Xenopus tropicalis: one gene and its partners. The main gene of each other region encodes a partner of the protein of the gene in region 7 in a complex. Links are inferred from orthologs where the notes say so. Each region holds a gene or a part of one and is shown on either strand. Other genes may lie near its edges.

Region 1 (4,073 bases), on a different chromosome or scaffold from region 7:
CTTAATTTTCCAAAGTTGCATGAAGTTTCCTGCAGGAGATTTAACCTCAGGCAACTAATCTCCCCGTGGGCCTTCATCCTAAGGTTATTGGCCCACGGGGAGATTAGTCATCCGCGATAAATCTCTGCTACTGCAACTAATCTGCCCAAAAAGCCTTTCCACCAGCAATAAAGTGAATTGCTGGTGGAAAGGCCTATGCATTGCTTTGTTTTTTTTGAAGTTGTGCAAACTTGCCTGCAGGGCTGATTATTAAATTCTGTTGTTAGCTGCACTGGTTTCAGAGCTGCCATGTAGTAATATAAGGGTATTACTATTACCCTTATATCTTGACATTTATATTCTCTATATACAGAATATTGAGTCAGCATCTAAACTCAGTAATGGACAGCAGCACATGTGCTGGGAATCAGCAGAAAAGAAGATGCAATTGCAAAAAATGTTTATGGCAGTTTTACTGTCCATATTAATCATAATTAAGAACTTCTTATGTAAGCTGCCATATGTCTACCACTAACTTTGCAGAAGGATGTAAGCTTAATGGCAGCAGTAGTATTAAAGATTGTCCATGTGATTGGTTATTGTTATAAGTAATGGAAAGCAGCAGAGCAGGAAAATTAATTTGTGCAATTTTGCAATATTTGGTGCAAATTAATGGCAACTTCTGACACAGACCTTAAGTGAAATTTGGTGGACTGACTCAAATAGTTGATGGCCCAATGCGAAAAGTACTGAAGCGCAACAATGTAATAGATTGTTGGTACAGGTATCGGACCCTTATCCAGAAACCCATTATCCAGAAAGTTCAGAATTATGGAAAGCCCATCTCCCATAGACTACATTGTAATCAAATAATTCACATAATTCCTTTTTCTCTGTAATAAAACAAACTGTACCTTTTACTTGATTCCAACTAAGATATAATTAATCCGTATTGGAGGCAAAACAATCCTACTGGGTTTAATTACTGTTTAAATAATTTTTTTAGTAGACTTAAGGTAGGAGATTCAAATTACGGAAAGACCCCCTATCCGGAAAACCCCAGGTCCCAAGCATTCTGGATAATGGGTCCCATACCTGTATAGGTAACAGCAGTCAGCATGTCAGAAGAAAAAGAGAAGTGAAAATTAAACTGAATGAAATTAGATGTCAGTTTGATGCTGTTAGTGATAAATTTCTGTTAGAAGAAGTAGAAATGAGCAGACTAAGAGAAAGAATATGTACACATTTCCATATCTACCATAGGTCTGCTGCAAATTTGACAGTGAAATTGCATGAGAACTGGGAGAGTAACAAAGAAATGGGTCCAATTCATAACAGCAGTATAGGGGGTGGGAGGAGGATAAGGTTGGACTCTCGCCTAATCATTATTATAAATTTATTTTTCCTTTTGTTCTGAGCCTGATGTCTGGGTTTATTTTCTGGGATTGTCCATTTTTAAGTCTAGTTGAATTGTTGAATGTGTTGGCTTTCAGTCCATGTAGTTCATGGGGACCATATCTTTTTCGTATGAATAAACCTTTTTTTAACCTTTGTTTTTATGCCTTTTTTAACCTCTGGCAAATGTTTAAGCTGTGAAGCACCCATCCAAAAAGAATATTATATGGTAGTTTGCACTCTTAATTATTGAAAGCAACAGGAGTGTAGAAAGGATCTAAGGTTTTTTTTTTAAATTATTATAAGCAGGAGAAGGTGTTGCATCAGTTGGATTGTTAGTGCATTTTTAAATAGCTGCCATAGATTTGTAGTTCTACAGTGGAATTGCAAAAGAACAGAGTGAATTTAGTGAAATTAGCAGAGAGTTCCAGTAGTCCAGGCGAGATATTATAAGAGAGTGAATAAGAATTTTGGCAGCATCTTGGGTGATCAATGATTGTATTTTGGAACTATTTCTTAGGTGAAAGTGACATGATTTGATAAGTGACTGGATTTCAAATGTAATTTCAGGATCACTGCCTTCTCCACCAAATAACAGACTATATCTTTCTGTAAAATACTAAGGGGCACATTTACTTTCCCATGAACGGGCCGAATGCGTCCGATTGCGTTTTTTTCGTAATGATCGGTATTTGGCGATTTTTCGGAAAATTATCGCAACTTTTTCATTGCCATTCCGAATGTTGCGCAAAATCTGGCGATTTTTTCGTAGCGTTAAAACTTACGCGAAAAGTCGCGCTTTTTTTGTAGCCATTCCGAAAGTTGCGCAAAATGTTGCGATTTTTTCGTAGCGTTCGGATTCATTCAAGCTTCAGTATGGGCCAGATTGGAGCTGCAGGGAGCCATTGAGTCCTATGGGAGGCTTCCAAAATCATGCTAAGTCTGAAAGTTTCGGCCGCCGCTTCCGAGCGCTCAATACGAAAAAGTCGCGACAAGATACGAGCGCATCGTAATGGCTACGAAAAACTCGCAAATCGTATTGGTAACGAAAAAGTCGCGACAATTTCCGAAAAGTCGTAAAGGCGCCGAAAAAAACCGCAAAAAATACGAAAAAGTTGCAAAATGTTCGTTTTCCAATCGGAATTTTTCCAATTCGGATTCGAATTCGTGGGTTAGTAAATCAGCCCCTAAATGTCAGTTGTACTACTCATTGCAGACACAAAAGGTCTACTTTACGGACGGAGTAGCGTTATTTGATAAGAACAGCTACTAAATATTTACATACAAATTAGCGAAAACAATTCCACTCCGCCTTTGCACTAACATAAACATTAATGAAACACGTCTTATGTCAATCTTACCTGCATTTTCACGTTTTCCGCCAAATCCCTCTCCTTAGGGCTATAAAGATTCCGGTCACTTCTTCCACGTTCAGACGGAGCACTTCCGGGTAAGAGCTCGCCTCTGGAAAAAAAAGAGTAATTCCGGGTCAGAGGGGGTAGGACTTGTGTACTCCAGTCTCGAATGCCTATCCGCCCCCCAGACCCGAAGACAGGGGTGGGGGGAAACTTCTGGGGACATGGCAGAAAAAGGAGATACAGAGGTACAAAGAGGGGATTGTGTACATATTAAGTACATGCGAAAGTATACGCCGCTATTTGTAGCCGGTCTGTTGTAGCCACTCCTTCCTTAAAGTGACGGCCACACATTACACGTCTGTACCTGAGTAAGCCCCCTTTGGCTGATTCCGAACATCCTAGGGATTATTAAACTGTGGCTTGCTAGCAGTTACACTATAAGTCACTGCACCAAGCTATGGGAACATGCATAGAGCTGCTGTTCCGAGAAAAGCAGAGTTTTTATTGTAGTTTGGAGAAATCAGTCATATGTTGTCTCAGGACATCCTGTTGTGTGGCTTCTGCTTGCTCTTGGAGCAGGCAATTTGTCCCCACTTGAGATGTGCGACCCTTAAGTTTCTTATGAACCAAATGGATGTTTTGCCGAACTTCCTATGCTCTTAATGAAATATCTGTATTGTGTCATGCAAATACTAAGGCAGATAACACATGCATGTTTATATATACAACTCATGTGGAAGCATTTTACCAACATTTGATCATTTTTTTTTGCTGTGGAAATCAAAGTAAAGCCGGCTATACGCCATAAAATCTGCTTGTTTGCCAAGGTTGTCAAACCAGCGTATCTTTCCCCCAATATGCCCAGCTAAGGTGAGTGATATTGGGCTAATCCAGTTGATTGGCCACAGGCAATCAGCTGACGCAGTCCTTGAATCAAACCTGACTATCAATGTCTGGTGGATTTTCTGGGAGATATCAGTTGGGTAGGCCCAATGGAAGGCCCCATGGCTGAGCTGCCGAATCAGTCTGAAGGGCCTAAATCTGCAGTTTAAGGGCTGTGACAGACGGGGAGATTAGTCGCTGCATGACAAATCTCCCCGATATGCCTTCCCACTGGCTAGAATGTAAATCGCTGATGGGATGGCATATGCGGCGCCAAAATCAGCGAAGTTTCCTCTCAATGCAACTTCAACAATTTTGGCAAATCGCTGCACCGCGTGTGCCATCCCACCGGTGATTTACGTTCTAGCCAGTGGGATGGCATATCGGGGAGATTAGTCGCCCGTGACAAGGGAGATTTCCACGTGATTTCCAAAGGGAGACATCCACGTGTGTATGATC
Region 2 (4,297 bases), on a different chromosome or scaffold from region 7:
TACTTTTTAAAGAATACCTAATATGAAAAACAAAAAAATTATATCAACAAAACATAAGTGCATAAAGGCCATACCATAGAGTAACAATTCCATTTAAATTGAAAAGTTGGATCTGTAAACATTAAATGTAAAACAATACATACAAGATACAGCACAGCTTTATAGCAACAACGTGATCTAAAATATAAGAAAAATTTTGTCAAAATCTTAGTCTTAACCTCGTTTCGTACGATATTCAGTGCGTGTATGGCATGTCGGTGAGTCGACAGATATCGCAGGAAGCTGCTGATATCTGTCGACTCGCCGATCGGACCAGTTAAAAGATTTTGATCGGGCGCCATAGAAGGCGCCTGACCAAAATCTGCCGTCAGGGCTGAATCAGCAGAAGGAGGTAGAAATCCTATTGTTTCTACCTCCTTATCTGCTGTTTCAGCCCCAACGGTGTGGTCCGATGGTCGCACTAAACATCGTCAGATCGCCACGTGTGTCGCCACCTTTAATAGGGCACATTCACCTACCTAGACGAAGTATATGTTTACTAAATGTTCAGTCATTAGCCTGTACTTTTCCAGTCTATGATTACACTCAAATAATATGCACTGCCTGAGGAAAGTCTGGGCTTAACTATCACAGAAAGACACTACGGTGTAGTGGTAAGCCACAGCTGGATTGTGACATTTTAACACTCATACACCACTAATTTTGCTTAGTGCTGCTGGCACTGGATAGGGCATTACCATAAAACCAAAAACACATACAAGTCCTTTCCCTCTCAGCAAACTCACCTGGCATAAAATCTTTTAAAATAAACAGTGGCAGTGGCAATGACTTGTTGTCGTAATTTAAGGTGTTCTCCTAAAGCTTGGATAACTGCAAAGGAAAGAAAATAAGATGAATGTTTAATGTAAATGAGTATGTGTTTCATGCGAATGTAGCAAGAGAAACAAACAGTGTGGGGGCTATTGAGTGGGTTGCATCCCAATAACAATCTATATTCAGAAGTAACATAGCACAATAAAAATATTGCACCTATAATAAAATACCAGGTTTCTAAAAGAAACATGCGATTACCATTTGTAAAAAATATCTGCAATTTCCAATATTCTTCTTCACTTAAAAATTTTAGGTCTTTTTGTCGTTCTTTTAATAAGTCTTGTTTGTCCAAAATCCATTGCAAACTAAAATAAATTAAAAAAAAAAAAAATTAGAAAAATATATCATTTCAATTCTTTTGCACTGCTATTTTGTCAAATTCTTATTAGTCCATAGAGCACATTCACTTACCTAGATGAAGTGGGCCAAGTGCAATTTTGCGCACAATCTCCATGTTTCAGCCAACCGTAGTTTCATGTATTGGCCAAGTCTAAAGCTGGCCATACACGCACCGATAATATCGTACGAAACCTCGTTTCGTACGATATTCGGTGTGTGTATGGCAAATCGGCGAGTCGACCGATATCGCAGGAGGTTGCCGATATCGGTCGACTCGCCGACCGGGCAAGTTAAAAGATTTTGATCGGGCGCGATAGAAGGCGCCTGACCAAAATCTGCCTTCAGCGCTGAATCGGCAGAAGGAGGTAGAAATCCTATTGTTTCTACCTCCTTATCTGCCGTTTCAGCCCTGAACGGTGTGCGACCGATGGTTGCATGAAAGATCGCAAATCGCCACCTTAAGGGCTGGGCTCGGATCGTAAAAAGTCATCCAACCCCTTCTTAAAGGGGTGGTTCACCTTTAAGTTAACTTTTAGTATGTTACGGAATGACCAATTCTAACTAACTCTTTCTTCTTCCAACTCTTTGCAGACCCCAGCAACACAAAAACTAATGCTCTGTGAGGCAGTTTTATAGTTGTTAGTTTTTGTAGCTTTTTTTTTTTTCAATTTGTGCCCTCTCCTATTCATTTAACAGTCTCTCATCCAAACAGCTCCCTGGTTACTAAGGTAACTAGCAACCAAATAGCTGCTGAAACTCCATACTGGAGAGCTCCTGAAATGAAAATGAAATAACTAAAAAAAGCTACAATAAATGAAGACCAATTGCAAACTGTCTCCAAATATCACTCTCTAAATCATATTAAAAGCTAACTCAAAGGTGACCAACCCCTTTAAATGTACTTACTGATGTAAAATACGAATGTCTCCTTTAATATTTCAGTGACCTTGTAATAACCATTTTGATGTCTTAATGGCAAAAATGACCTACCTGAGGTCCCCAGGCATTTAGTGGAACTTCAGCTCCCAGCATTCTCCTGATAGTTATCAGTGGATGTGCAACAGTGCAACAGATGGAGGGCTTTGTTTTGTGCTTATAAGCAAAGCCATGGAACTGATCAAATGCTGGACCTGGACCTCATTTGCAATGAGTTATTCTGCATTTCAGACTGTATATTGCTAACACAACAACTTGCACTTTATTAAAAGGGTTATTATAGGGCTACAGCAAATACAAAAAGGCCTGTACTTCACTACAGGCAAAGAAATTCACAATTTGCAAGTCTCAAAACACTGGTATACTGAGAACGGCAAGGCAGCAGGTTAGAATCTTTTCCGCTCATAGTGAAGTGCTAGGGAATTTTAAAGATGGCGACAGCTCAGCCTACTACCTATAGACAAAACAAATAAAACAACGCTTACTAGTGAGAGCTCTGCCAAAAGTTCCCCGCCATCAATGAGCCAAACGAACACCGCCTAAGGATGAGCGGACCGCTGCTTGTGACGCTGCCAAGAACGTCACAACAACCCACAGCTAGCGTCTATAAAGCCGAAATGTAGAGATTCCAGGAAGAAGACCCAGTGTGCAACGCTGATATGTCCCGGGTGGAAACACACACCAGCACGGAACTCAGTCTGCCTCTAGTTGTGAATAAAAGAAGTATGCGTTAACAAACATACGTATACATTTCAATGATTTCAAATCTGTTTTTTGGTTATAGTTTTACATTTTTGTGTCTTCACAAGGAACGCACAAATTCTCACTGCTTATGTTTTCTGTAAAAAAACATTTCTCAACTTTTATAAAGACTGTGTTCACCATGTCTTTTCTTCTTTTTATATTGACTTATATTAAAGTGGAAAGAATTAGCCAATTTGGAAAATAATGCATGACTATGACACACAGGTTGATTATTCTGCAAAAAATTTGCACTCCATCTGTCCAACATAAAAATACTAATAGCAGAAATTCCCATCAGTTAGTGGGCCCAAAGGAATGCAACAGGGTTATTTGGCCAGGTGTAGGCCATAATCGGATAAATGGCAGGTTGGCCTATGTGTTGCCACCTTTTGCATTATTAGGCTGATGTCAGATGTGGTGTATTCTCAGCAAGCCGGAAAACGCTTGCCTAGAATACGCCCTCCACCTCCTACCTGTGCCTGCACCAGAGCGTAGCTGGTAGTAGGCAGAGGGCGTATTCTCGGCAAGCGTTTTTCGACTTGCCGAGAATATGCCACGTCTGACATCAGCCTTAGGCTAATGCCAGACAAGGCATAGGGCGTATATTTTCGGCAAGCAGAAAAATGCATCCTGAAAATACCGCCCTACGCCTCCTACTTGTGCCTGCACCCGAATGAATGGAATATGCTTGGGTTCAGGCACATGTAGCCGAAATACACATAAAAACTTGAGAGAATGCAAAGTCTTGCGTTTTTATGCGGTATTTTCAGCAAGCGTTTTTCCGGACTACCAATTGGACTACCAATTGTAGAGCAGACTGGTCCCTTAGAAAATTGTAAAAGAATAAATGGGAAAAAAAGAGAAAAGGATTTGTACGTAGCATGGGACATGCAGAAATATAGCAGAAGCAGAATATGTATAACGAGATTAGACAGCAGATATATAGTTATCTGATTTTTCACTGGGATTACTTCAATAAACACAAGTAAACTGAACATTTTATTCAAACTGTTTTGCATTCAGTTGAATGCATTGCTTTACTTGTGTTTTCATAAGACAAATACCCACATAAAAATATAACTTGTATATCATTTTACACAGTTATTCGTTTTTTGTAATAAACCTGCCTTTTACCTGGATCCCAACATGACATTTGTGTATGGGTTAAACAAGTGAAAACAGAATTGCTTGGTTAACCTCAATGAATGCTGAGGGACTGGGACCAGTATATAGAAGGAACCTCCTCTCCATCTGCCTCTTTTCCCTCTGGCCCTTGTCCTCAGCTGGAACATACTTTTGAACATACCTATGGCACATTTGCAATCCTGCAGAGACCTAATACATAGTATTTATGCCCCAAGACCCATAAAATCTATGCTCTAAGAGGAATTGTATGCTTCTCTAT
Region 3 (3,733 bases), on a different chromosome or scaffold from region 7:
GGTAACAGTACATTATATTGTTATTGCTTTTATACGCTTTCATATTTTGAGGTTACTGTTCCTTTAATAACACTACTTGTTAACTCAAATACTTCTTGCCAGTACTTTTGTATTTTAGGGCAGTTCCACCAGGTGTGCACGAGTCCCTTCCTGTCCACATTTTCTCCAGCACATTTTAGTGGCTGTTTGTGAGACTATTCTTTAATTTTTCATGCATACACCCATTTATTTTACAATGCTGTGGAATATGTAGTTGTTTTATTAATACATGCAATAATTATAACAATTTAAAAAACATGACATTAAGTATGATTTAGTATATATTTTTTTATTTTTTTTACACGTTCTGACCTATATCTGTGTACACTAGACATTTGTTGGTACATTAGTTGGGCAGGTTTGCTAATTTAATATAACAACACACCATATCCACCAGTGCTGGGTGCATCAACTGATAAATTAGTGAATAAGAGCTGCAGCTCCTGTTATTGCTGTCCCAAACAAACAGAACAACAGAAAGTTGCACATGCCCTGGACAGTATGTATGTGTTCAGATACTGCATTGCATTGACATGTCTATGGTCACACTAAGCCATGATGTACACACCCAGCTATTTCAACAACACCAGAAAAGGCTCTCTATTCCTGCTTTAGAGTCATTTCTAGTTATCTGAAAATACTAAAGTTCATACTCTATGTAAATAGAATAGGTTGGCAAAATGTTTTGTATAAGGATTTCATCCACTTACAAATAAGTTTTATTGCAGAGAAACCAGTTTTCTCGAGCAGGTGTATGTATTTCTTTTTATAGTGCCTGTGCCCCAGGGTAAAAATAGCTTTACAACAGAAAGGTACATAATAAATCAAACAAATAAGTAAATGCACATACATATTACCTTACAAATGATTTCTAGAATCTTGTAGGTGGAAGAACACAATTTTGATATCTGCAGAAAGCTTATTGATTGATGCATCTGATTTTGTAAATAATTTAGAAGTTCAAAAAATGTTAAACTGTGAAAGATCAACTTTTATAGCCACTCATGCAGCACCCGTTTTTTTTGTATCACAAGTTAAAGGGGCAATCTAGTTAATGTATTTAAATAGGCAAGGAAAGGTTAATTCACTGGAGGTGCCAATATGTTGGGGCTCCTAGTGTATTAAATAGGTAAATTTGTTTTAACTCACCAACCCCCATATGTAAGAAGAGGCACTCGGTAGCTCAGGAGCAGTAACCCATAGAAAGCAATAAGATGTTTGCTTTTAATCGGGTAACCAGTATATTCTACCTGCTGATTGGTTGCCTTTCCACCGGCAGCAATAGGAGTCGCCAGGTGGAAAAGTCTATGCATCACTTCAGCTTTCCAAAGTCGCACAAAGTTGCCTGCAGGATGTGTAGCCTTAAGGTTCTTTTCCCACCTTGCTCCTTCAAATCTATTTATCCTTTTTTGCACCTTTCTGTACAACATTATTTCTATAGGTACATTTTTTACCAAAACTCTCCTGACACCTAACCTCTCATTCTGAAACCAAGGGTGTTAGTATAGTATCAAAGGTTGGTTTTCTCTGCTTTATTCAAATAGCTGTAACTCATTTTAATAAGTTAACCTCTCTGCTACATTGCCACCCAGCTACTAGAATGGCTAGAATTTGACTCCTAAAAAGAATTTGCACTTTAAATTCCAGCAGCGACCCCTGTCACAGAAGCAAGAGCACTTGTTTGTATTATGACTGCAAAGCTCAGAAGGATAGCAGGCAATTACATGGTGGTACAAACCAGCAATGCTGTCTGGTTACAGGGTTCTGCTGGAATTTCAAGTGTTAAGATGCTATTTGGGCTGTGCCATTGGCACCCTTGGACTTTAGACTGAAGCTGACAGTTGAAGTACAAAGGATAAGAAGTGGTGGCATGTTTTCTGGCAATTAAAAAAGATACGTTTTTCTTTTGTTCAATTTTATAATGTGCTAAATGCAATGTCGCAAAGTTGTTTCTGTCCATTTATTTCCCATTTAAACTGCCACAGGGTAGGCAGCACAGTCAAGAATGTCATCATACCTTGGTTTGCTTTTATGTATGTATGTATGTATTTACATACATTTTACTGGAACTAGGGGCCCTAGTCCTAAAAAACAGCCCCAGACCATTGTTCCTCCACCAAACTTTTATAGTAGGTATTATGAATTATTGCAGAAAGCATTTAATTGGTATTCACCAAACAAAGACCTGTTGGTCAGATTGCCAGATTACCAGAGGTAAACTGCAAATTGAGAATTAGTTTCCACTGCTCCAGTAGCATTGAATCCTAAACCATATAGCCAAAACTTTCCATGGTTTTGCCATTAACAAAACAGTTTTTCTTGCTTAATCACTTTTTGGAAGCCTAATTAACTTTAGCAGTAACTGTTATCACATATTAAAGCCTTTAATTTTTTTTTTTTCAGGTAGTATTCTTGACCAGGGTCTAGAGAGCCTCCTCCATCGTTTACGTGGTTTATGTGACAATATGGAACCTGAGACATTTGCAGATCATGAGAGTGTCTACCTTCTCAAGGGTCAGCAGGCCAGCCCCTTTGTGCTACGAGCACGTCGCCCTTTGGATCGGCCAGGTGCTCCATGGCACCTTAGGTATCTGGGTCAGCCTGAGGCTGGAGACAGAAGCCGCCACACGCTAGTGCGTAATTGTGTTGACATTGCCACCTCAGATGTTCTTCCTGAATTTCTGCAGGAGATGGGCTTTCGTATGGACCATGAGTTTGTGGCACGCGGCCACTTGTTCAGGAAAGGGGTTATGAAGGTGGCAGTGTACAAGGTGTTTCGGGTGTTGGTAGCAGGAGCAGCAGAGGGTGCTGAACCCTTGTCACTTTCATACCTTGTAGAGCTTAGTGCAGTGGCGCCAGCTGGTCAAGACAATATAGCTGATGAAGTCAGGGGGTTTGCAGAACAGCTCAGACCACTCGTGCAGCTGGAGAAAATAGACCCTAAACGTCTGATGTAAAGGGGACATTCCAAAAAACAAGACTCAAGATTGTGTGTTTCTGGTGAAAACCGTTTACACTGCCATAATTCATTGGTTTTTCTCATGAGCTGAGATGGCATGAAATTCCTCTTGACTGTAAAGGGACCAATGTCAAGTTCTGCTGGTTTCATTGTGACACAGAACAGCATCTGCCACTGTATTGTGCAGACCAGAAATAGAATGATCTGTTTTATTATTAAATTTGTTTTATTTTTCCTGTTGTGTTCAGTATTGTCCTCCTGACCTGCAAATTTAAAACATTTTTACACATATTTACTTTGAAAGATCCATGTAATTTTTAGCTTTTTTTACTTATCATTTTTTCAGGCACTCCCCTATTGATCTCCCATTCTGATAGTCAAACTGCTGCCTGGTTGCTAGGGTAGTTAAGCTCTAGTAACCAGATAGCAATTGAATTTCAAAGCATGAGAGTTGCAAAAAAAATAAAAAATTAAGTCTGTCACATTGTACTTGAAAGCGGATATCTACATAATAATTTTTAGGTCTATGGCACATGTTGGGATTAGTTGCCTGCGATAAATCTGCTCTACCCTGTGGTGACTAATCTTCTGAAATAGCTTTCCCATTGACAATAATGTAGATTCTCTTGCAATCATACACACAGCTGCTAAGCTTGAGTTGCCTGTTACGGTTTATGATGTTACCAATTTATTATTACTTAAAGGAGAAGGAAAGGCAAAGTCACTTGGGGGTGC
Region 4 (3,500 bases), on a different chromosome or scaffold from region 7:
ACAATGTATTGTTTTCCTGGGTAAACTAAAAGTCCCCCCGAGGAAAGGCCCCTAAAGTGAAACAGTGCAAAATGTTCAAAAACTGTCTGGCAGTACAAGTTCCGCTTTGTCCAAAACCCCTGGCAGTGAAAGGGTTAACAGATGTTTGAATACATTTTGATAGTTTAAAAACAACTTCGGTATGTACAGTATTTAGCAGAATTAAGTCTTTTTTTCCTTGAGGTGTAAATAGACTGCCGAGTCTTGTCCTGAGGAGTTGGCCACAAATTTAGCAATGTTCCTCAGGCTAACATCTTAGCTCCCTTAGTTGGAAACATAGTACACCACATTCAGAGCTCCATGGACTTTGTCAAAAAAGTCCAGGAGTTAAATCTGGATATCAATGAAACAATGGTGTCCTCTGATGTTACATCTCTGTTCACATGCATACCCACTACCGAGGCAATTGAAACAGTGAGGAAACGGCTGAAACAAGACACCCCCCCCTCAGCAGCAGAACAAAGCTGAACCCAGAACACGTTTGTTCCTTACTGGACCTAAGTCTGAATACTGGTCTATGCTGTCCAGTGCAGTGCAGTGAAGAGTGCTCTGACATATACACTGGGGAGACAAAACAACCTCTCTGTAAGAGAATGGCCCAACATAGGAGGGCTAACTCCTCAGGACAAGACTCAACAGTCTATTTACACCTCAAGGAAAAAGGACACTCTTGAGGACGGTGATGTGCATATTTTGGACAGAGAGGACAGATGGTTTTAAAGAGGTGTGAAAGAGGACATTTATGCATGCCTGGAAAAACCATCCCTAAACAGAGGGATTACCCCGGCAGTATCACAACAGTTTACACTGAACCCCTCTGTAACTGCTCAGGGGTCCAGGTGAAGTCAGACAATTTATTGGGGGTCACGGGAGTTTGCCCCAATTTTAAACCCTTCACACTGCTCTGCCTTGTCATTGCTTGATACAATGGTTGCATATGTTTTAACGTAAAGTACACAATTCATGTAACGTCACACTACGCATCCAGGGTAGGAGGAGTGAGTTTTATGAATTCTTATGGAAGGGGGGAGGAGGAGAGGGGAGAAATGAGAGAACTGCGCAGACACTGGCACCTAGAATGAAGGATTTTTCTGAGAAGAAATCAGATACCCCAAGAACATGTTTACAAAAAAGGAGACAAGAAATCCGCAGTTTCTTTTGATAGAGTGCAGCTTTTCTGTGAGTGCTTATGGCTTTATTTACATAGACCTTTCTGAAAAAGCTTACTTAGTTTTTACCTTTCCTTCTCCTTTAAAACACAAGTGCTTTAATGAGAGGGAAGTGTGCATCTTGCCCTTATTACATGTGACGAAACTGTGACTGTGGCACATTTTTCCCAAAAACATTGTGGTGTGCCCCCCCTCCCCCACTGGTGTCTCACCTGACAGGTAACCCCAGCAGCGCTGCATAAAAATAGCCATTTCTGTCATCGAGAGGGTATTTGTCAGGTGAAATATTTTTCACATTTTGGCATTGCCCCACTAGGTAGAGGATACTTGGTTCTTGTCTGTACAGTTACCCTGGCAGCTGTTTCTCTGTGTACAGTCAGGGAGATCTAGTGAGCAGGCCTCTTATGTCTTGGAAGAGATATTCCTGCTGAGGAACAGCAGGTACAGGCAAGAGGTCAGAATTTTTTTTTGTCACTTTTGATTATTATTGACTGGCAGGTTTAGAGGGGGCGTAATCTCCCAAAACCTCAAAGTGATACTGACATGAAAAAACTACTTTTGAAAATATTAATGTATATAAAAAGTTGCCTATGGGTCATTTTGACCATTTTTCACCGATAGGGCTCCTTTTGTAAGTAAGTGTTACTTAAAGTTCCTGAACCTGACTGTTCCTTTTCAACCTGTCAGTTATAGCTTCTAATGCTAACGGACTTCTGCTGCACAAATGCCCCCTGATAGAGGAACATGGGGATCAGATAGGTAATGTAAAAGCATCAGGAATTATGTTTTGGCAAAATTATAAAGATGATTCACAGACAATGTAATGATTTATTTAAAAGACAGTTTTATTTTAAGCGTCAATATCTCTTTAAAGGAACAGTAACACAAAAAATAACTTTTAACATGTCCCTTCTAAATACTTTATTAAGATATGTAGCATTTAAAAAAATGCAATATTCTACGTGATTTCAGAATAAATTACATTACCAATGCTTTACTGTGCAGAGCTTGAAAAGGCAATCCGGTAACTGCTAGACTTTCGGTTTAATCTGGAAGTTAATATGCTGCATTCTTCAGAGTCTATTTTGAGTGATTTTTCGCTATTAGCAGATGGGGCATGGAGAGGAAATCAGAGACGTAAAAAAACACAACTGCTATGGAAATTTCTATATGATTTATTTAATAATCAAAGTGTATAGAAAGGATATTTTGAAGGGAAAAAAATTGTGTTACAGTTCCTTTAAAAAAAGAAATCCACCCATGTTGGCAAGGCCACATGAGAATAGACAGTGCTTGTATTGCTATTGTATACTGAAATGATGATTCTGTACAGAGTTGCAAAGTAGCCTGAATTTACCTCATGAGGCAACTTTGGGCTACTTTAGAAAGCGTAAGCAACACGTTTTCCCCCCACTGGTGTTACATATTACTGCTGATGGGAAGTTTTGTCACCCACAGTAGCACAGGCAACAAAATGTACGGTCACTGCCATTTTCCTTAACTGGAAACTACCTTTTCTACTACAATTAATATCTGACTGTTTAGCAAGTAGTCAGATTTTAAGAACTCTGCACAAAAAGTGTCTAAAAGTTAAAGACTATTATCACAATAATTATATAAAATGTTGAAGTAACTATTATCACTATATATTAGATTAAAAAATTTTGCATCATACCAAAGCTTTGTAGGTACTGCCTGGCCAAAGCAAGTATAAAGAAAACTATATACCTGAACAATGTGCATCTCTATAAAAAAATAAATAAATATATGTTGAATAAAAACAGCCTATATGTAAAACCCAGTTTTATCTAAATAAACTATTCATAAAAATATTTATTAATTGGTTTATGTTACCTAACTAATGCTTTATTCCCCCCACCCTTTTTGTCTGTTATTCCCTGAGCACCAAAAAAAAAAAAAACATTATACTCACTGGTCCAGTGTGCAGTCTGAATCCAGTCAACAAGGCACCTGTTAGTGGAGTGAAGGAGTTTCCACAGATCGGTGGCTTTTCAATCAGTGAACGTAGACTGCTGTTATCCTGAGCGCCTGGAGTATCAATCATACCTACAAAAAGTAGACACAGAAATGCCACTTTCGTTAATTAGTTTTATTACATACTCTGCTTTCTAGTCCAAACTATAACATTGCTATTTTATTTGTTAATTTTTATTTTACTTACAAATTATTATTTCAGTCAAGGATGAGGATATAAAAGAACAAGGCCACAGGCCTTAGTTTGGTCAATTTGCTATGGGACCAAAATGTAAATATAAATATATATATATATAT
Region 5 (2,799 bases), on a different chromosome or scaffold from region 7:
GTACACAGAGATACCATAAGGCTAGGCAATAGAGACATCATACAAACAAGTCTGTGAAACAGTTGGTCTGTACCAGGTTGGAACCCTCCAGTTCGATCTTCATTAAAGAGGTAAATATACTTGTCCAATCACAGCGATTAACTCACGCTTTATGGCACTGAAGCTTCCTTTTAAAAGACGTGCAGAATCCAGGGAAGGCAGAAAACTGCTTTAGGATAAGATTTCTGGCTCTTCGGTATCAATAAATGCACAACAGAGTGGTGGCTTCTTGGCACATTAACTATGACAGCAGTAGAATACCAGTCGACCACACATGCAGATAAAATATTGCCCTGTGTTACATACATATGTTTCAGACAGCTAGGTAACTAGCAATATTGTATATCCCTTTCATTTCTTGTATTGATTGTAATCCATAACCCCAGGCAGTACCCTCCCATACACTGTGAGACGACTTACTGGAGCGATACTTCACTATGGGCTAAAATGACCACAATGGATTTTCTAAAACGTTTTTTTATTTTTTTTTTTCATGGCATATCTTATTTTATACCTGTAAAAGCTCATTTTACAATATAACAAAAGAAAAGTCTGCTACGTGTTGTAAAAAGGACGTGTGAGTCAACAATGGTCAAAACTGAAGCAGTTCAGTTAGTTGTCCGTGACTTCCTGGAAACAGGGACCAATCCCACCGGTAAATATAAGCACCAGTGAGGATAGAGTTCTATACCCACCTGTATGGGGACCAAACTGCCGACACAGGAACCAGGAGGCCAAGCAGCTTTCAACAGTTTAGCGACTCTGACCAGATGAGTCTGAACACGCCCTATGAATTCCTATTTAGGCTACTGTCGGTTAATAAATCAAGAAGGCGAGGAAATGACAAGAGGTGATTCATAGCTGATGAATTCAGAAAAATCCTGCAGGATTCATATCATTTTGGAGGCAGTAGAGTCTCATTTCCTTAGCTTATCCTCAAATAAGGTCCATTAGGATGTCGTCTTCCATGACACTCTGAGCCTGCACTTGCTGTAGGCCTTGCTGAGGGACAGGGCCTCGAGGTCCCGCGCTCATCATCAGTGTCCCTAAAGCAGAAAAACAAAGCACAAGTGTCAAACAGACTGCTTCAGGCTTCTGAACCTTTATACCTTAGTATGATAGGGATTGTTTTATAGTAATACCATAGCAACGGAATGCACACAATGACCATTCAGGCCAATTCCTGAAGGTTTATGAAGGAAATTCCCTGTGAAATATGCAGCACAATGAAATAAATGTCTTGCAAGTCTACACTAAGGGGATTATTTTTATAGTGTATAAGCCAATACACTATAATAAATATGCCCCAAAGTCTGATAGTTACCCACAACAGCCATCCAGCAGGTATCATTTACCTTTTTGAAACCAAACATTAATGTCAATATAAATGAATTTTGTTACACAGCACCACCTACTGGTCAGTTTCTGTCCATGATCCAGTCAAGAAAGTTGTCAGGAGAAAGAAAGAGGGGTTGGTTTGATGTTCTTCTGCTTAGGAAAATCATTAGAAACCTCAGATGACCTTTCCTAAGCAGAAGAACATCAGAGCAGCCCTCTTTCTTTCGCCTGACAACTTCCTTGGTGACATCATGGTCGGAAACTGACCAACAGGTGGTGCCTTTGTTGCAAAATTCATTTGTATTAACAGTACACATTTCCCTTAATATCTTGGAATAAAAAAATTAATGTAAATTGCAAAAGTGCTTAGAATAATTTTACATTTACTTATTTTATAAAGGTTTATTTATCATTTAAAAAGCACTAATTAATGATAAAGACCTCAGGTTAGGGTGTTTCTCGGTCACTTATATAATCTAGAACACCTGTACAGTATGGTCAATGGTGGGTTCACAAAGAATGATGGGTAATATATACAGGAAGCTTTTAAAGTGGTCAGACCTGCAGGATTTACTTTGTGTTGTACAAAATGAAACAAGGAGATGAAGAAAATAGAATCCTATATGTATACCTCCCAACGATGAGATGATATAAGGATCAAAATAAGATACAAGTATTAGTATAGGCCAGTGGTCCTCAACTGTTGTTGTGAGCCACAGTCAAATGTAAACAGACGTGAAAAGCAACACAAGCACCATAAAAGTTCATGGAGGAGTCAAATAAGGGCTGTGATTGGCTATTAGGCAGCCTCTATGCACCCTATCAGCTTACAGGGGGCTTTATTTGGTAGGAAAGCTTGTTTTTATTCAACCAAAACTTGCCCCCAAGTCAGGGGGCACTGAGAGCAACATCCAAGGGGTTGGGGAGCAAAATGTTGCCCCTGAGCCACTCCTTGGGGATCATAAAACCCCTAGCCTGCTGTAAATGAATTTCTCAGGGTGTCTGTTTAAAGGGCAATGCAAACTGTGAGTGGGCAACAGTGTGAAGTGACCTGCCTGGACCAATTATTGCCACTCTTGCTACTGCCGTTTCCCCTGGTGTGAAACCTCCTCACCTGGAATTGGTGCTCTCTGTTGCATCTGGTTCCCCCATTGCTGCGCGGGGGCTTGGTGCATAAGTGTTTGCCCCGGGAGTTGGAGTTGCTGCTGGCCGGGAGCCTGGTGCTGCATCTGTTGGCCCATGGCCTGATGGGGAAGCATGCCCTGAGCCGCTTGCTGCATATGGTGCAAAGGCTGCTGTGTTTGTGGGACACTGGTCTGTGGCTGTAAAACAGAACAACGAAATGGATATTTAGTTCTTGTACAATGGTTCTGTCTTAGTGACTTGCTCAAATGTTCACGCCTTGGACCAGAACAACATTTT
Region 6 (4,000 bases), on a different chromosome or scaffold from region 7:
GTTCTGGGCACACAATAAGCTGTACCCCCATACTGTACTGTCTAAGGGAAACACTATGGCACCCCCTACCCATATGTATAAATACAAATATACAGAGAGGGAATGTTCTGGGCACACAATAAGCTGTACCCCCATACTGTACTGTCTAAGGGAAACACTATGGCACCCCCTACCCATATGTATAAATACAAATATACAGAGAAGGAATGTTCTGGGCACACAATAAGCTGTACCCCCATACTGTACTGTCTAAGGGAAACACTATGGCACCCCCTACCCATATGTATAAATACAAATATACAGAGAAGGAATGTTCTGGGCACACAATAAGCTGTACCCCCATACTGTACTGTCTAAGGGAAACACTATGGCACCTCCTACCCATATGTATAAATACAAATATACAGAGAAGGAATGTTCTGGGCACACAATAAGCTGTACCCCCATACTGTACTGTCTAAGGGAAACACTATGGCACCTCCTACCCATATGTATAAATACAAATATACAGAGAAGGAATGTTCTGGGCACACAATAACAAAAAAGAAAGTCTAAGCAGGCACTGCCCACACAGGCTTTTCAATACAGATAATAAGGGAAAGTCATATTCAATTTGGGTCCCAATTTCTTAGGGCCCTTATGTGCTAACCAGGGGCCCCAGGGCCACTGTATCTCTATGGAATTATCTTTATTTACTCGCTCTCTGAGACCCCCCAGTAACAGGATCAGGGTTAGAGAGCAATCCCAGCAATCCCACAGGCACCAATAACACTGTCTCTTTAAATTCTTCTTGATTCTATTTATCCTGAAACAACATAGACAGACTGGCGACTCTGTAGCAGCAACTCCACAGCAAAAGTGTAGCCCATGGAGGATTATGGCCCCCCCCCCCCCTTCCATCATAAATGGAATATAAAACCTGAATACAATTGTCCAATAGGCAGCATCGCCCTCTAGCGACCAAAAGAGGTATCACACTGAACGCTATTTAGCAAGTTGGCAGGGAACGTCCAGTGTAGGTAGAAGTACACATGCGCAGTCTCCTTTCCGCCGTTACAACCCCGCCTCTACTGAGGCTGGCCAATAGAAATAGGCGTTTCTCGTTCCTCCTATTGAGAAAACGCCGCAGTGACCCTTAGCCAATAGAAACCTTTATTGTACCAGTTAGCCAATAGGAAGCGGCGCTGAAGGTATGGGCGGCTGGTTCGGCTTTGCCAGCTGGAAAGATGGCGGACCGGCTGACGCAGCTCCAGGACGCGCTGAATTCGGTGAGCGCTTTATCTGTGTGTGGGGTTTGTGGGGTTTGTGGGGAAGGGAAATACATCCTCTCGCTGCCCGCAGTTGGGTCCCATCTCGGCTTTATAGTCACATTGTAACTAATGGTTTATTCCATTCATTGCTCGCAGCCCCCACACTGTGTCCAATGGATCTTATTACCCAGAACCCCATGTCTATGAGGGTTCCCTCAGCTGATGCGGATTATATCGCCGCCCCATCCCATATATATCCCCGTATATCCCATATATATCCCTGTATATCCCATATATATCCCCGTATATCCCATATATCCCCCTGTATATCCCATATATATCCCCGTATATCCCTATATATATCCCCCTGTATATCCCATATATATCCCTGTATATCCCATATATATCCCCGTACATCCTATATATCCCCCTGTATATCCCATATATATCCCCGTACATCCTATATATCCCCCTGTATATCCCATATATATCCCCGTATATCCCATATATCCCCCTGTATATCCCATATATATCCCCGTACATCCTATATATCCCCGTATATCCCATATATAGCCCCGTATATCCCACATCCCCCTGTATATCCCATATATATCCCCGTATATCCCACATCCCCCTGTATATCCTATATATCCCCCTGTATATCCCTATATATATCCCCGTATATCCCTATATATATCCCCGTATATCCCATATATCCCCGTATATCCCATATATCCCCGTATATCCCATATATCCCCGTATATCCCATATATCCCCGTATATCCCATATATATCCCCGTATATCCCTATATATATCCCCGTATATCCCATATATATCCCCGTATATCCCATATATCCCCGTATATCCCATATATCCCCGTATATCCCATATATATCCCCGTATATCCCATATATATCCCCGTATATCCCATATATCCCCGTATATCCCATATATCCCCGTATATCCCATATATATCCCCGTATATCCCATATATATCCCCGTATATCCCATATATATATCCCCGTATATCCCATATATATATCCCCGTATATCCCATATATATCCCCGTATATCCCATATATATCCCCGTATATCCCATATATATCCCCGTATATCCCATATATCCCCGTATATCCCATATATATCCCCGTATATCCCATATATCCCCGTATATCCCATATATCCCCGTATATCCCATATATATCCCCGTATATCCCTATATATATCCCCGTATATCCCATATATATCCCCGTATATCCCATATATATCCCCGTATATCCCTATATATAGCCCCGTATATCCCTATATATAGCCCCGTATATCCCTATATATAGCCCCGTATATCCCTATATATAGCCCCATATATCCCATATATAGCCCCGTAAATCCCTATATATATATCCCGGTACAGATAAGTACTTGCTATTGGCAGCAGTGCCCAGCTCCACCCCCAGGTTCTGACTCCTGACACAATGTAGCAGGTCAGTTTAATACCAGCCTATTAACTCCCTCAGTGCCAGGGGGGCATTGGATGAATGGAGTTGTAACCCCTCCCCTTTGTCTCTCCAGCTGGCCGATCAGTTCTGCAATGCCATCGGGGTCCTCCAGCAGTGCGCTCCCCCCGCCTCCTTCAGCAACATCCAGACGGGCATCAACAAGGACCAACCGCCCAACCCCACTGAAGGTGAGAGACTGCGAGTGGCCCCCAAACTGCCCCGTTACCCACCCAAATGCCATTGTAACCACGCCCACTGCGCACTGACACACCCCCAGCACTGACTACCAGACCAGCACACAAAGGGTGTGAAACTGTCTGTCACTGCTCTGTGTGTATCAGCCAATGCGTTTATAGACACGGGGTAGGAGTACCGGGAAATACACTCCCCCGTGCACAGGAAGCAGAGACAGTCACACGGGTACCAGGAAATACACTCCCCCGTGCAAAGGAAGCAGAGACAGTCACACAGGTACCGGGAAATACACTCCCCCGTGCAAAGGAAGCAGAGACAGTCACATGGGTACCGGGAAATACACTCCCCCGTGCACAGGAAGCAGAGACAGTCACATGGGTACCGGGAAACACATTCCCCCGTGCACAGGAAGCAGAGACAGTCACACGGGTACCAGGAAATACACTCCCCCGTGCACAGGAAGCAGAGACAGTCACATGGGTACCAGGAAATACACTCCCCCGTGCACAGGAAGCAGAGACAGTCACACGGGTACCAGGAAATACACTCCCCCGTGCACAGGAAGCAGAGACAGTCACATGGGTACCGGGAAACACATTCCCCCGTGCACAGGAAGCAGAGACAGTCACATGGGTACCAGGAAATACACTCCCCCGTGCACAGGAAGCAGAGACAGTCACATGGGTACCGGGAAACACATTCCCCCGTGCACAGGAAGCAGAGACAGTCACACGGGTACCAGGAAATACACTCCCCCGTGCACAGGAAGCAGAGACAGTCACATGGGTACCAGGAAATACACTCCCCCGTGCACAGGAAGCAGAGACAGTCACATGGGTACCAGGAAATACACTCCCCCGTGCACAGGAAGCAGAGACAGTCACATGGGTACCGGGAAATACACTCCCCCGTGCACAGGAAGCAGAGACAGTCACATGGGTACCAGGAAATACACTCCCCCCTATATTTATATCAAAACATTATATCGATTGTTCTGCTTTAGTGCCTTCATACTCGTTTCCCAGTCTGTTGCTATGGGCCTCTGTAGGGGAAGTTCA
Region 7 (3,500 bases):
TTTAATTAAAAATTTGTGGTCATCAACAATATCTTACCCTACTCTCTTTTTCAGGTGGTTCCCTGCCATTCTCTTCTGCAGACTGTAAATGATGAAGTGGTCTCCTACATTCAGCACTTGAAGTCTTTAGCTTTTTCTGTATACTGCCAGTGCCGGCGACCCATAGCCACACAAATACCCATCAAGCCTCTCACTGGCTTTGGTCCAGCAGCCGCTCTAAATGCAATACTCAGGAATCAAGAGGTGATTATTTTAGAAACTGCTTGATGCATGTACAGTGATTATTTTTAAACCACAAATATCTGCAAAAACAAACACAAATATGTGCAGTAACCCACTAAAACCAGTTTTTGTTTGGTTTCTACTAGAAGTTGGAAAATAAAAATAAATGATTGGTTGCTGTTTTTTTTGCGCCTGTGTTTGTAAATCAGCCCACTCAGTGAATTGCAGTTCTGCCTACAGTTTGTAAACAGTATGTGGGTGAAAGACTCAGACATTTCATAGAAATATAAAGAATGATATACAAATTGTTATATAAGTTTAGTACTGTTAGGGGCTCTGTTATATAGATTACTTGGAACCTGGGGTTTTCTAGATTTTTTTTTTCTTCCATTTTGGATCACCATACCTTAAGTTAACTAAAAAGAAATCTTAACATTGACATTAAATAAATCCAATAGGATTGTTTTGCAGCAGTATGAATTTATTTAGCTTAGTTACAAGGTACTGTTTTATTACAGTGCAGATGGAAATAACTAAAAAATTAACTGCATGGGGGATGGCAAAGTTTTTCAATAAGAGATCCCATACCTGTAAAAGTGATGAAATGCCAATGGAAAAAATGGAGAGGCATAGAAAAATTGTTGGAATTAGCGGTTGAATTATAGGTTAATGGTGGACAGGGTTAGAATGCAGTCATACTACTATACAAAGGCCACTTACTTGCTGGTTTGGTATGATTTTTTAGTTGGCCAAAACAATCAGATTTTCAAATAGCCCAATGCAATCCTTTGGTAAATTTAGCACACCACTGTATATGCAAAAGTGAGCTACTGCTGTACCACTGCTGTAAAAGGAAATTAATGTAAGGTTCTAGACTCTGAGTGATGTTAAAATAAACATTTGCATGTGATCTTGAAGTCAAAAGAGAAGTAAATATTGCACGTTCCTAACTTCTGATTTTCATGCCTGACAGCAACCTAGCCCTGGACAGATGTATTCTCCTCCATTTTTGCTCTCCCCCACCAAGGACAAGCAGACAGAGTTGGGTGAGACATTTGGTGAAGCTGGACAGAAATACAATGTGCTGTTTGTAGGTTACTGCTTATCTCATGATCAGCGCTGGCTTCTGGCGTCCTGCACCGACCTGCAAGGAGAGCTTCTGGAAACTTGTGTTGTTAATATCCATGTGCCCAACAGGTTGGTAAAAATATTCTGTATGTCTTAGTTCACACAAACAGCAAGAACAACCATATACTTCTGCTGATATGCTACAGTATTGACTTACTGTAATTGCTTCTCCTAGTGTCCCTGAGAATTATATATGCTGTTTCTGTGGATAGAAGGAGCAGGTAGAAAATGTAGCTAAAAGTAATATTACATTGATAATTGTCTAGAAGAACCATCAGAATGCATAATGGTAGAATGGACATAAAGAATTGTCTTCTGTTAGAGTTTTTTTTTTTTTTTTTTTTTAGAAACTCTATTATCACACTTTATATTTTTTTGGTGTGTTGATAACTGAAAAGTGAAGTGCTAATGTGAAAAAGACTAGAGACTGTATTATATAGTTCTTGTCAAGCTAGTCTTGCAGTAAGTCTATGTGAATATTTTGATCAGTAAAATAATTGTAATCACTTCTCAGGTTTCGGAGGAGCAAAGTTTCAGCAAGAAAGATAGGGCTGCAGAAACTATGGGAATGGTGTGTGGAAATTATACAGACAACATCATTACCCTGGAGAGTGGTGATTGGCCGTCTTGGACGACTAGGCCATGGCGAGCTGAAAGGTATATAGGTAAAATTAGTGAGCTGTTATATCAGCAACCAGTGACTGATTGCCTAAGACTATTCTGTTCCCTTTGCAGATTGGAGTATTCTGCTTGGAGAGTGCTCTCTACAGACCATCAGTCGTCAGTTAAAAGAAACATGCAAAATGTGTGGAATCTCAGCAGCTGATTCTCCGTCTATACTTAGTGCCTGTCTCGTAGCAATGGAACCCCAGGGATCTTTCACTGTCATGCCTGGTGAGACTTATCTTTTCTGTATTCACCTAAAACATCTGCCCTTTGGATGAAGGGAAAATGGTAGTTTTGCATTGCTATTCAGAGATTGATCTTTACTGTGATTTACTGTGAATACCATGATATTACCTATGATTATTTGCTATAACAACACATCAGCACTGACATGTGTCCTTTTAGGGGACATTGAGTTAAGTTCCTTCTTGCAGGAAACAGCAATTTTAGAATGGGTAACAGACTTGCTAATATTTTTACACATCCTGAGCAGTGCATTGTAGGCTTTGATGTTTTTTGGGTAGGAGTGGCTGTCCAAGGGATTTGCATGGCCCTCTGTCTGTCCAAGCTGCATTGCATGCCATCCTAGTTTAATTATAATTGACCCATAAACATGTTCATTATGAACTTGCTGACCACTGTCTTTCTTTGTGTATTTCAGTCTGTTGGTAATGTCATTATTAGTTTTTATGTGACTCAACACAGTATGGCACCCAGCATTAAACAGTTATTACACTGAGATTTGACATTTCATTTCAAAACAAAAATGTCAAAATGTCCTGCCTATCTTGTTGAGCCAGAGGGAAATTCTTGCAGGTGCCTATGATGCAGAATGATGCAGAATGATGCAGTTCTACTAAAGTATTCATGAATGTAATAATATGACTTTGTTTGTCTTAGAGTGTGTTCAGGCATGGCAATGCTGTTCCTGTCTCACCGGGAAGTGAAAGTCCAAGCTATTTAACCTTAATGAGTACCTTCAGTAGATTAGGAAGCATCTTGGCTTCTGTTTTTCAGACTAATATCACTGATTGCAGTGACTGTACCCCATGTGTGATGTCAGGAATAGAGTGCAAGTTGCTACATTTGCCTGGCATCTCTCATCTCTGGATTACAATAAGGTTCAATTTCAGGGCTGAAGATGTATGCTCTAAATGTGTTAGTGTCTGTCTCAGTGAACAGAAAGACTACAACAACATTGTTTTTTGTATTTATGACCCCCAAAATCCTGTCACAAATCATAGGTATTTTGATAATAAAAAAAATAATAATGGTACAGAATTCCTGTGTAAATGCATTTTAGGTGTTTTCATTTTCTGGTGTTACTGGACCTTTAAAAACCACTCGCCAGTGTAACTACATTGTATCACATATGATTTGTTCTCTGAAGCGTGCATGCTTTTCTCACAGATGCTGTCACTATGGGTTCAGTGTTTGGCCGCAGCACAGCTTTGAATCTACAGACATCTCAGCTGAGCACTCCA

What was found.
Region 1: med13l (region 7) and med8 share a complex: the UniProt entries of both Homo sapiens proteins name them as parts of the mediator complex. The link is inferred for Xenopus tropicalis from reciprocal best matches to the Homo sapiens genes MED13L and MED8.
Region 2: med13l (region 7) and ccnc share a complex: the UniProt entries of both Homo sapiens proteins name them as parts of the mediator complex. The link is inferred for Xenopus tropicalis from reciprocal best matches to the Homo sapiens genes MED13L and CCNC.
Region 3: med13l (region 7) and med18 share a complex: the UniProt entries of both Homo sapiens proteins name them as parts of the mediator complex. The link is inferred for Xenopus tropicalis from reciprocal best matches to the Homo sapiens genes MED13L and MED18.
Region 4: med13l (region 7) and med19 share a complex: the UniProt entries of both Homo sapiens proteins name them as parts of the mediator complex. The link is inferred for Xenopus tropicalis from reciprocal best matches to the Homo sapiens genes MED13L and MED19.
Region 5: med13l (region 7) and med25 share a complex: the UniProt entries of both Homo sapiens proteins name them as parts of the mediator complex. The link is inferred for Xenopus tropicalis from reciprocal best matches to the Homo sapiens genes MED13L and MED25.
Region 6: med13l (region 7) and med21 share a complex: the UniProt entries of both Homo sapiens proteins name them as parts of the mediator complex. The link is inferred for Xenopus tropicalis from reciprocal best matches to the Homo sapiens genes MED13L and MED21.

The regions. Positions count from the first base shown.
Region 1 is NC_030680.2:88,535,262-88,539,334, forward strand, and holds the start of med8 (mediator of RNA polymerase II transcription subunit 8), read right to left. Parts: upstream 2,801-4,073; 5' UTR 2,742-2,800; coding exon 2,736-2,741; intron 1-2,735. Other genes in the region: KICSTOR complex protein SZT2, read left to right, coding at 2,954-2,977. UniProt on the Homo sapiens protein: Component of the Mediator complex, a coactivator involved in the regulated transcription of nearly all RNA polymerase II-dependent genes.
Region 2 is NC_030681.2:82,030,211-82,034,507, reverse strand, and holds the start of ccnc (cyclin-C), read right to left. Parts: upstream 2,801-4,297; 5' UTR 2,666-2,800; coding exon 2,634-2,665; intron 1,179-2,633; coding exon 1,072-1,178; intron 871-1,071; coding exon 786-870; intron 18-785; coding exon 1-17. UniProt on the Homo sapiens protein: Component of the Mediator complex, a coactivator involved in regulated gene transcription of nearly all RNA polymerase II-dependent genes.
Region 3 is NC_030678.2:78,270,751-78,274,483, forward strand, and holds the end of med18 (mediator of RNA polymerase II transcription subunit 18), read left to right. Parts: intron 1-2,442; coding exon 2,443-2,996; 3' UTR 2,997-3,233; downstream 3,234-3,733. UniProt on the Homo sapiens protein: Component of the Mediator complex, a coactivator involved in the regulated transcription of nearly all RNA polymerase II-dependent genes.
Region 4 is NC_030683.2:55,878,314-55,881,813, reverse strand, and holds part of med19 (mediator of RNA polymerase II transcription subunit 19), read right to left. Parts: intron 3,276-3,500; coding exon 3,142-3,275; intron 1-3,141. UniProt on the Homo sapiens protein: Component of the Mediator complex, a coactivator involved in the regulated transcription of nearly all RNA polymerase II-dependent genes.
Region 5 is NC_030683.2:117,441,895-117,444,693, forward strand, and holds the end of med25 (mediator of RNA polymerase II transcription subunit 25), read right to left. Parts: intron 2,700-2,799; coding exon 2,492-2,699; intron 1,086-2,491; coding exon 976-1,085; 3' UTR 501-975; downstream 1-500. UniProt on the Homo sapiens protein: Component of the Mediator complex, a coactivator involved in the regulated transcription of nearly all RNA polymerase II-dependent genes.
Region 6 is NC_030679.2:3,066,179-3,070,178, forward strand, and holds the start of med21 (mediator of RNA polymerase II transcription subunit 21), read left to right. Parts: upstream 1-1,200; 5' UTR 1,201-1,226; coding exon 1,227-1,268; intron 1,269-2,820; coding exon 2,821-2,935; intron 2,936-4,000. UniProt on the Homo sapiens protein: Component of the Mediator complex, a coactivator involved in the regulated transcription of nearly all RNA polymerase II-dependent genes.
Region 7 is NC_030677.2:145,412,000-145,415,499, forward strand, and holds part of med13l (mediator of RNA polymerase II transcription subunit 13-like), read left to right. Parts: intron 1-54; coding exon 55-243; intron 244-1,195; coding exon 1,196-1,419; intron 1,420-1,864; coding exon 1,865-2,007; intron 2,008-2,085; coding exon 2,086-2,244; intron 2,245-3,426; coding exon 3,427-3,500. UniProt on the Homo sapiens protein: Component of the Mediator complex, a coactivator involved in the regulated transcription of nearly all RNA polymerase II-dependent genes.